Linked DNA regions of Canis lupus familiaris. The protein of the gene in region 2 interacts with the protein of the main gene of each other region in a pairwise test. Links are inferred from orthologs where the notes say so. Each region holds a gene or a part of one and is shown on either strand. Other genes may lie near its edges.

The links. The genes of interacting proteins can lie anywhere in the genome.
Region 1: the proteins of TRIM63 (region 2) and PKM interact in a two-hybrid assay, tested with the Homo sapiens proteins (3 studies listed by BioGRID and IntAct). The link is inferred for Canis lupus familiaris from reciprocal best matches to the Homo sapiens genes TRIM63 and PKM.

What each region holds. Positions count from the first base shown.
Region 1 is NC_049251.1:36,167,532-36,172,359, forward strand, and holds part of PKM (pyruvate kinase PKM), read right to left. Parts: intron 4,357-4,828; coding exon 4,240-4,356; intron 1,837-4,239; coding exon 1,670-1,836; intron 893-1,669; coding exon 801-892; intron 1-800. UniProt on the Homo sapiens protein: Catalyzes the final rate-limiting step of glycolysis by mediating the transfer of a phosphoryl group from phosphoenolpyruvate (PEP) to ADP, generating ATP.
Region 2 is NC_049223.1:73,296,595-73,301,422, forward strand, and holds part of TRIM63 (E3 ubiquitin-protein ligase TRIM63), read left to right. Parts: intron 1-2,072; coding exon 2,073-2,241; intron 2,242-3,006; coding exon 3,007-3,102; intron 3,103-4,307; coding exon 4,308-4,541; intron 4,542-4,828. UniProt on the Homo sapiens protein: E3 ubiquitin ligase. Mediates the ubiquitination and subsequent proteasomal degradation of CKM, GMEB1 and HIBADH.

The sequences.
Region 1 (4,828 bases), on a different chromosome or scaffold from region 2:
CCCAAGAGTTGCCACCTGGTCCCTGGGTCAAGTCTCTGTCCACAGGTCAAGTCAGCTCATACTCAGCCTCAGTACAGATCCTTTCCTACCAGGCTGCTGGGGAGTGTGCTGACTCTATTTTAACATGCTAGAACCCATGGGAAGAGAGAGGCTAGGAACAGTGTTGATGAAGTGGGGTACTGTATGCTGGATAGTGTGATTACATCGGACTCGGTCCTTAACTTGCAATGGTATAGAAACTCTTCTCTTGGACCTGCTCAGTTATCTTGGGTCTACATTCGGCCAGAAATCAATCTGCAGGGTGACTTTTTGGTTCATCACTGCAATATGAACAGCTATAGAAACCCAGGGGTAGGAGGTGTCAAGCACTGAGGCCATGCTACCTAACGGCTTACAGGGTTTTCCAGTAGAACCCTTCCACACTCTTTTTTTAAAGTTATTTTCCCAGCAAGCTCTACACTCAGTGTGGGCCCCAAATGTTCACCTCTGAGATCAAGAGTTGCACGCTCCTCTGCCTCAGCCAGCCAGGTGCCCCAAACCTTCCACACTTTAGTCAGTACACGAGTGTGAGAAAACCATGGCCAATAACCAAATAGGTCATCTTTGGGTAAGAAGACTTGGCCAACTGGGATGGCAGGAGATGGGGAAAGGATGATAGGATAGGCCAGTGAAGACACTCGTCCCGCTGGCTGTAAACCCCAGACTTCCTCTTGCCTAATTCACTATGACTAAATGAACCACACTGCCACCCAATTTCCTACAGGCTGCCCCTATGGCCAGGCTGTCCAGCTGAGGCTTACCTCGTGAGTTCCATGAGAGAAGTTCAGACGAGCCACATTCATTCCAGACTTAATCATCTCCTTCAACGTCTCCACCGATCGGGAAGCTGGTCCTAGTGGAGGGGGAAAAAAGTTTTAAAGCCAAAGTGTTAAATATTCAAAGGAGGAATAACACTTTCAAGTTTGAAGAACTCTTGATATCCTTTTCCCCTAAATTTTCCTCCCAGAAACAGCTCAAAATTCTTTCAAAAGCATATACATGACTAATATTATGCTTACCCACTTCCCTGAGCTAAGGGGATGCTTTTGCTATGCCCTTGAAATCCTACAGGCCCCCATCTAACTAAGAAGGCCTAAGTAAGACTTGGCCCTGAAGCCTAGCCAGATGTCCAACCACAGAATCTTGGTTGCACACAGCAAGTCAAAAAGATCTTCCCTAGGGATCCCCGGGTGGCTCAGTGGTTGAGCGTCGGCCTTAGGCTCAGGGCGTGATCCTGGGGTCCCAGGATTGAGTCCCACACTGGGCTCCCTGCATGGAGCCTGCTTCTCCCTCTGCCTGTGTCACTGCCTCCCTCTGTGTCTCTCATGAATAAATAAAATCTTAAAAAAGGATCTTCCCTAGATTTCTGAGATGCTCCTAAAAGATGTGCTATGGAACAACACACTGTCTATATTCTGCCTTTAGCAGCAAACACAGAGCACGCAAAATTCCTTATTGCAACTTCCTAGGACCGGAGTCCAGAGTTCCCAAAGAACCTGTATAGCATCTCGCTCAGCACCCAGGTTTGCTACATTTCTTTTGTCTTTTCAGGGAAGATCACGGTCATATGAAGCCCCTGTTTTTTTTTGGGGGGGGGGGGGGGGGCGCAGCGGGGGACACACCCACGCACCAATGGTACAGATGATGCCAGTGTTCCGGGCCGTGATGGGTGGGGAGTCGATGTCCAGGCGGCACATGTGTTCCAAGAACGTGTCAGCCATGGCCGCGTGCAGCTGCTGGGTCTGAATGAAGGCGGTCCCGACGTCACTATGGGGCTTTGACATGGCTGCTGAGGTCCTGGATCCAGGGGAATTGAAGAGAGAGTCATCAGTCTGAGAAGCCCAGGTGGTTAATAGATCTCTTAGCACAAGAGGCTGTTTCCTGCTTACACATTAACTCAATAGGCACACTCTGCACGAGCCACAGGGAGCCCCACCATGCTCTGGTGGCGTGGGCACTCCTCAAGTCGGGCAAAGGGTTCACGTGACCATGAGCAAGTGGAAAGGACCTCAAAGACCAATTTAAAACCTCGTCCCCAACACACGTGCTTCCCAAGCATCCGCTGTAAGCAGATCTCCCTTACAACGGGCTAGTATCCGCTTTGACAGCTTTCCTCGTCCTCCTCCAAACAACATCTCACAGGCATCGAAGGAAGCTACCTCCAAAGGAAGGCGTGACCAACCTTCCAGCGACAGAAAGCACTAACTGCTAGTTTAGTATCTTGGCAAATATAAATCTTTGTATGAAAAGCTATCTCAAGCTATAAACGTCCGCTATGGGGTGGGGCATCCATAGTGGTTTTTAATAATCCCCACCCAAACTCAAAGTGATTTTCCTGGTTGTAAAGACAATCATCATCCAGGCAGTCCTTTGACCTCTGGAATCCTAGATTTTCTCTAAGCCAGAGCAACATGTAAGTTCATTCCTTGGCTTGCTCTGGCAGGAGAGCCAATCCCAGTTCACTGACAGATAGTAAGAACCACTCCTTGGACAGGAAGCAGAGCTGACCCAAAATCCCGAGCGCACTTTCACCCCAGGAGTCTGCACCTGAAAACCACAGCTACTTGTGGTCAGCAGGACTTTAGGGACGTGCAAAGCAATTTGCATAAAACCAGATAACCCCAATGGCACTGGTCGGGTTCTAGACGTATTACACCTACTTTAACAGGACAGTTACACCTGAGGAAATCCATCCAGACTGCTGGCCAAACCCTCTCCCCCACCTGATTTTCTGATACACCATCCCGATTCCCTTTCTGACAAGCACACCGCAAAGACCACCTGTTACAGGTAATTAAACAGACCCGGTCACAATCCTGACAACTGTCCCGACCTTTGCTTCCTTCACTACTGACAGCTAAACTCACTCAGCCGGTTAGTTTGCTGATTATAGAGACCTAAGAAGCTTCCAGGCTGGTCTGAAGGACCATCAGGTAAGGATGTGAGTCAGAAGCTCGACCCTCCTCATCACAAGGCTGTCCCTTCTTCAAGTTCTTGGACCAAGGGTTACTCCTAACACCCTGGGAGCTTCAAGGCTTCAGCCCAGGCTCCTGAACAAGCCTCTCCTCAGGCCTGTCCCAGCTCCTCCTAACTCTCAGGGCTCTGAATCCAGGCACGCCATACATGCCACTTTTACTTCCTCCTCCCCCCGCCCTTGACTTTGGGGCCTCTCGGGGTAGCTTGCATCTCAGCCCATATCTGCTACCTTCACGAATTCTGATACACGCCCAAGAAGTTCCGTGACCAGTTGTGAGCAAAACTTGTCAGCTAGTGAAAACGGATGGCTACCCATGCTCAGCTACAGAGGCTGATACTTCAAAAATGGGGAAATAAGATGTTGGCTAACTATTCCACACGGCAAATGCACTGCTCCTTTCAACGTGTGTTTCGTAACTCCCTAATACACACCAGGCACCAAAACGAAAATGTTTGGAGGTCCTCTCCTCTGTGACCTACCTGTTCTCTGTTAGCACCTAGTACTGGGGAGTGTTCCAGTGTTTGCTGAACGACCTTTCCGTGTACCTCAAAGCTTCTTTGTCAAAACCAAAGTTATACCTCTCTTCCCTCCTTCCCCAAATCTGAAGAATTTATGAATTACTAGAGGGCCTGCCTCGGCAGCCAGGGTTTCTTTATTGGCACTCACGTGGAGTCAGGGCTCCTGTGCCTTCGGAGCACATGGCAGGGCTGAGGTAAGTCTGCCTGTTAAGAGAACATGACTGAAGAGATGGCACCAGGTGGCACACCCAGCCAACTGGAACACAAAGGCCTAGCTGTGGCCTCCAAGTGGAATCATCATCCAGTCTGAGGACTGTCATCATGAATAAAACAAGATCTCAAAAAGTGGATTGGAATAATTAACCTGCATCTTCTTAAAAATCACCAGCTGGAGCAGCCCTGATAGCCCAGCGGTTTGGCACCGCCTCCAGCCCAGGGCGTGATCCTGGAGACCCGGGATCGAGTCTCACATCGGGCTCCCTGCATGGAGCCTACTTCTCCCTCTGCCTGTGTCTCTGCCTCTCTCTCTCTGTCTGTGTCTGTCATGAATAAATAAAATTAAAAAAAAAAAAAAACTGACAAAAACCAAAAACAGAAACATAAAAAACACAAAAACATAGTCAGCTGTCTCTTCTCTAGACCCGAGACAAGAGTGTTTCCTTGCAAACAAAGACCTGGCCGGGGCCACAGGTTGTTGGGTCATACCTTGTGTTCTCGGGGCTTGGGCTTCCGGTGACATAATGTCCTTTTTGTGGCTCAGGGTGGCTCCTTGGCCCCACTTGCAAAGACCGCTCAGAGCTGAGTAAGGTTTGCTCTGCAGAGCTGTACAAGGATCAAGGTAGAAGCTGAGTGTAACTGAAGTTCTTTGGGGCAATGGAAATATGACCTTAGTAACTAGGTAACCAGATGGTAGCTGCTCCCGGAGACTCTGCTATGTTACAGAGAAAAACATAGATATGGGACTCCTGGGTGGCTCAGCGGTTAAGCGCCTGCGTTCAGCTCAGGGCATGATCCCAGGGGCCCGGGATCAAGTCCCACATCAGACTCCCTGCATGGAGCCTGCTTCTCCCTCTGCCTCTCTCTCTCTCTCGAATAAATAAATAAAATCTTAAAACACACACACACACACACACACGCGCACACACACACACAGATACCTCCAAGGAAATACCAAGAAAATGGTAACAGAAAATTTGCAGGTAAAGGAAATTCTTGCTAGCTCTATGATGCTTTATCTCCTCCTGAATACCCAGATTATTTTCGCTCTAAATTCCCTTTAAATATGTGGTTAATT
Region 2 (4,828 bases):
CCTGGCAGTGTCCTGCCCCAGGATAAGTGACAGACCAATCTTAGTGTGAAAAAGCCCTGACCAGGGGAACCGTCGGCTAGTCTGACTCTGTTACTAATGTATTGTGGGAACTTGGTTGAATCTTTGGGCCTTCATTTTATCCATCAGCAGAGGAGGATGGTAAGGTTTGTTAGTGTGACTATCAAATAGGGTTTTGATGGGAAATGTTAAAAGTATCAGATATGTATGGACACCTCCTGTGTCTAGGCACCTCGTCTTAAGCATTTTCCATGCGTGACCTTTATTTAATTCTCACAGTAATCCATACTACTTTCTTACCCTCATTTTCCAATGAGGAAATGGAGGCTCCTAGAAGGTCAGAGGTGTGCCCGAGGCTGCTCAGCAAGCCGTGATGCTGAGAGGGAGCCTAACTGACTCTATGGTGAATATTCCTAACTGCTATTGCCTCTATGTTCCTGGAGTAAAACTCCATAAAAGTACAGAAATATTGCTGACCATTCTCCAATAAGAAAATTAATATTGCACCCAAATATTAGCCCCTCACCTCGAGTATCGACCTCTGAAGAGCAGGTTTATGCTTGAACCCTTCGGGGGCCTTTCTACACAGTCAAATGGCTGTGAGAGATGCCCTTTATTGAGGGTCTGCTCTGTGCTAGGCTCTATACATTCATTGCTGATAGTTGCCCTGATCCCAGTAGCTCTGGGGTAAAACCAAGGCTCCGAGAGGTGAAATCACTTGCCCAAGGTCACAAAATGAGTGAGCAGCAGAACAGTCTGGATTTAAACCCAGATGCTGATGCCCGGGCTTCAGGAGAATGGGCATCTGGCATGGCAGTGGGCACAGGCACCAGACCCTCAGGATCTTAGCTCATCTCTGCAGCTACTGCCATTCCAGAGCTCCCTCCCGGGGGGGTAGAGACAGGTGGCAAAGGAAGACTCCTGCCAGCATGGGGAGGGGGGGGCCCTGCGATAAAAGATGAAAAAGAGATAAGTCTGAAAAGGGACTTATTTAAAAACCTGGGGAGATAATAATGTCTGGGGTGTGGCCAGTTGTGCAAGGCTATTCAGAGGTGAGGCATTGACATAGACAAGGGACAGTCACCATTTGACATTTGTGAGATGCTTGCTGTTTTAGGGACTGGGAAAGCAGAGTGGGAAAGCAGAGGTGATGTAGACATGGTGTTGGCTCTTAATGATATGTCTAGATGAAGGGGTAGGACTTAGACACAAAAAACTGAGCCTCAGATAGGAAGCAACTGATGCCCTGCGAGAAGCATAGATAACATGCCAGAGGCCCCTAAGTAGAGAACCAGACCGAGGGAGAAAAGCATTCTAAGAATGTGTGTTTGGGAAGGAAAAAACTCTGAATGCTGGAAAGACTTTCTGGACTTTAAGTCAAGGCTTGAGCTGAACTGTTACTCATCCTTGGGCTGCCTGTGTTCTGGTTGTGTGACTTGGGGCACACACATTTCTTCCCTCTCTGTGCCTGGGGGCACCCTCATGGTGTGCTTACTGGTATAGTCTCTCCACCTGTATTGAATAACCACCTCCTCCATGACACACACTGTACACTGCAAATTCAGAGGTGCCGGGAGCAGGCAAGTTTCCCTGCTTTGATGCGGTTACAGTCTGATGGATTAAATATAGAATTAAGTGAGGCCATGAGTATAAATTGCTTTGCTCAAAGTTAGCCTGCAGTAACCAGGAGTTACAGGGACTATAATTAGAGCAAATGCACTCTTGCCTCCCCTGCCCTGACTTGATGGGTGACCTTGGACAAGTCAGTTCACCTTTCTGGGGTTCAGTTTCTTCTTCTCAAAAATATCTCCAGTTCTGGGATTCTACAACCTTTCCCATGTTCATCACTGGAGTTTGAGTCCAAGGATATGAGGATAGCCTTGGTGTCACTGGCTTTCCTGGTTCTGGGTATCCAGAAAATGAAAAGGACTGTGTACAGCCAGTCACTGAGGGCTCAGGCCATAGATCTGGAGTTGCCACCCAGAGCTGGGGTGGGGGGAGACAGGGACTCGGGACCCCCCCCCCCCACTGTGTGACTTGTGATTCTTCTGCAGTCGGCCCCTGCAGAAGGGCAGCCACCCCATGTGCAAGGAGCATGAAGACGAGAAAATCAACATCTATTGCCTCACGTGTGAGATGCCCACGTGCTCCATGTGCAAGGTGTTTGGGGCTCACAAGGCCTGTGAGGTGGCCCCCCTGCAGAGCGTCTTCCAGGGACAAAAGGTACTGGCTTATACCACTTCTACCCCCAGCCTGGGCTTGTGGGGCATGGCCAGATGATTCAGGATGTAGATTTGATCCCTGTAGATCTGCTGAGCCGGCCTTTCAGGAATAGTCCCTCTGGAGGGACTTCCCAGGCCACAGGGACAGCAGCCCTTGCCTTCCTGGGGGAGGTGGCTGAGCTCATGGGTTATACTTAGAGCCACTTGAGAGCACCTGGGTGTGGCCACAGGCGAGAGACCAGACCCCTGGGCCAGGCCACCAGGGTCCTCTCAGGCCATGACTTCTACATCCCAGTGTGCTTGGGGCCCCAGATACCTCTTCCTGTGCTGGTTACCTCTCCTGTAGCAGAAAAAGTAGCTCAGAGCCCTCTCCCTGGCCCTGAGGCCTGTGGGAGTCCATAATCCTGCCCATGCAGTAAGCTATGGCCCCTCTTTCTGGACACTTCTTCCCTGCCTCCCACTCTTCTCTTGACCTCTCTCTTCTAGAACTCTCTATTTCTTTTTTGTATCTCTTCGTTCCTAAAAACAAACCCCTCCTCTGACAGTACATTGCTGTTTGTATTTTGGTCATTTCCCCTTTCTGGGCCTCATTTGTAAAATAAGGGATGTAGTATCTCTAGAGATGTAGGCTTTTTCTAGCAGAGAGGGGAGTGAGGGTGCCATTCCTGAGAAGACAGGCCCTGGGACTATTTCATCTCTCTTCTCCTTTTTTTTTTTTTTTTTTTCATCTCTCTTCTCCTGATCCCTCACCCCCTCTCCCATCTAGACGGAGCTGAGTAACTGTATCTCCATGCTGGTAGCGGGGAATGACCGGATGCAGACCATCATCACTCAGCTGGAGGACTCCTGTCGAGTGACCAAGGTGAGGGGGAGAAGAGTTCTGTCTAGGGGTCCAAGGCCTCTCAGTGAAGCCTGGTTCTCTGGGGTGAAGGCTCCGCTGTGAGCTGTGGCTAATGGTTGGGGCCTGGAGGCTGGGGTGTTCAAGCAGGGGTGGTGGAGTGGAAACCAACTAATCTATTCATCCACTCACTCACCAAATGCTTCTGGAACACAGCTGTGTGTCGGGCCCTGCCAAAGACGCTGGGGCTGGAGTGGTGAACAAGACAGACCAATCCCTGACTTTAGGAAGCATGCCAGCAATAATTCTCAGTATTTATTCAGCACAAGTAGTTTTCAGACCACTGTCTTCAGTGTGTTGTAGACTAAAGCTTCTCAAACTTTAAAATGCGTTCAGATCCCCCTGAGATCCTGTGAAAATTCAAATTCTTATTCAGTAGATCTGGAGGGAGGTATGAGGTTCTGCATTTCTTTCTAATGAACTCCCAGGCTTTACCCAACTTGTTGGTCCACGGACCACACCATGCAAGACTACATAGAGGCAGAAGGAAACTTTTCTATCTCTGAAAAAGAATCCATGATTTTTCATTTCCACTTGAGGTGGGGCCTAGAGATGAGGTGGGGGGGAAAGGGTCATCAGACTCCTGATGAACGAAGAGCTGTGTGAAGGATGGCTTTGAAGGAAGGAGGGGACTACTCATGAGATGCTCCCAGGCTGATAGAGGATACTAGAGCCTCCAGTCTGGTGAGATATATTATTATACCTATTTTGTAGGTATAGCATCTGTGTTGGAGAGAAGGGAGCCTCAGTGAGGAGGCCACTAGAGGAGTCGCTGCTTCTCCTTTCTTACTAGAACCAACTAGAGCCTCCTGAATCCAGTCTTGATCCTAAAATAGGGGCCAGGGGTATGTGTGGTGGGGGGTGACTTGGGAGGCCACAGAAGGCCCAGACTGGATCATCCCATCTGATCCTGGAGTCTCTATTTTTGAGGAAAGGGCTAGCTTTCTCCACGGCACTAGCCTCCAAACGTTACTGGTATGCTAAGTAGCTACGAGACCTCAGCAAATCCTTTCTTTTTGCCAAGACTTCATTTTGTCTTCTGTAAAATGGGGGTGTAGCAAGATCTCTTCCAGCTTCAGACTTGTTATTCCTAGCACATCCATCCCAGGAAAAATGTGCCAGGGAGAGGAAGACTCCCTAGGGTGTGACTCTGAGATTTCTGTCCCCAGGAGAACAGTCACCACGTGAAGGAAGAGCTGAGTCAGAAGTTTGACGTACTGTATGCTATCCTGGACGAGAAGAAGAGTGAGCTGCTGCAGCGGATCACGCGGGAGCAGGAGGATAAGCTCAGCTTCATTGAGGGCCTCATCCAGCAGTACCGGGAGCAGCTGGACAAGTCCACTAAGCTGGTGGAGACGGCCATCCAGTCCCTGGATGAGCCTGGTGGGGCCATCTTCCTTTTGGTGAGCAACTAGCAGGGTGTGGACAGTCACTTGGCCTTACCAGCTCTGACTAAGATGCATGTCAGGCACCCATGTGCCCCCCAAGCCAAACCATTTAAAGCTCTCAGTGTCAACGTCCTCAATGACCTCAAATGGCCACGCAACGATTTCTACCTTCTTTCCTCTTCACTGATTTTGTGAGGATCAAATAAGAGTGTTTGCAGAATGGTACTGTAAGCTGCAAAATACAGTGCCTCCATAGAGACTATTCATTGAGCATATACTATAGGTCAACCACAGAGGTAGAG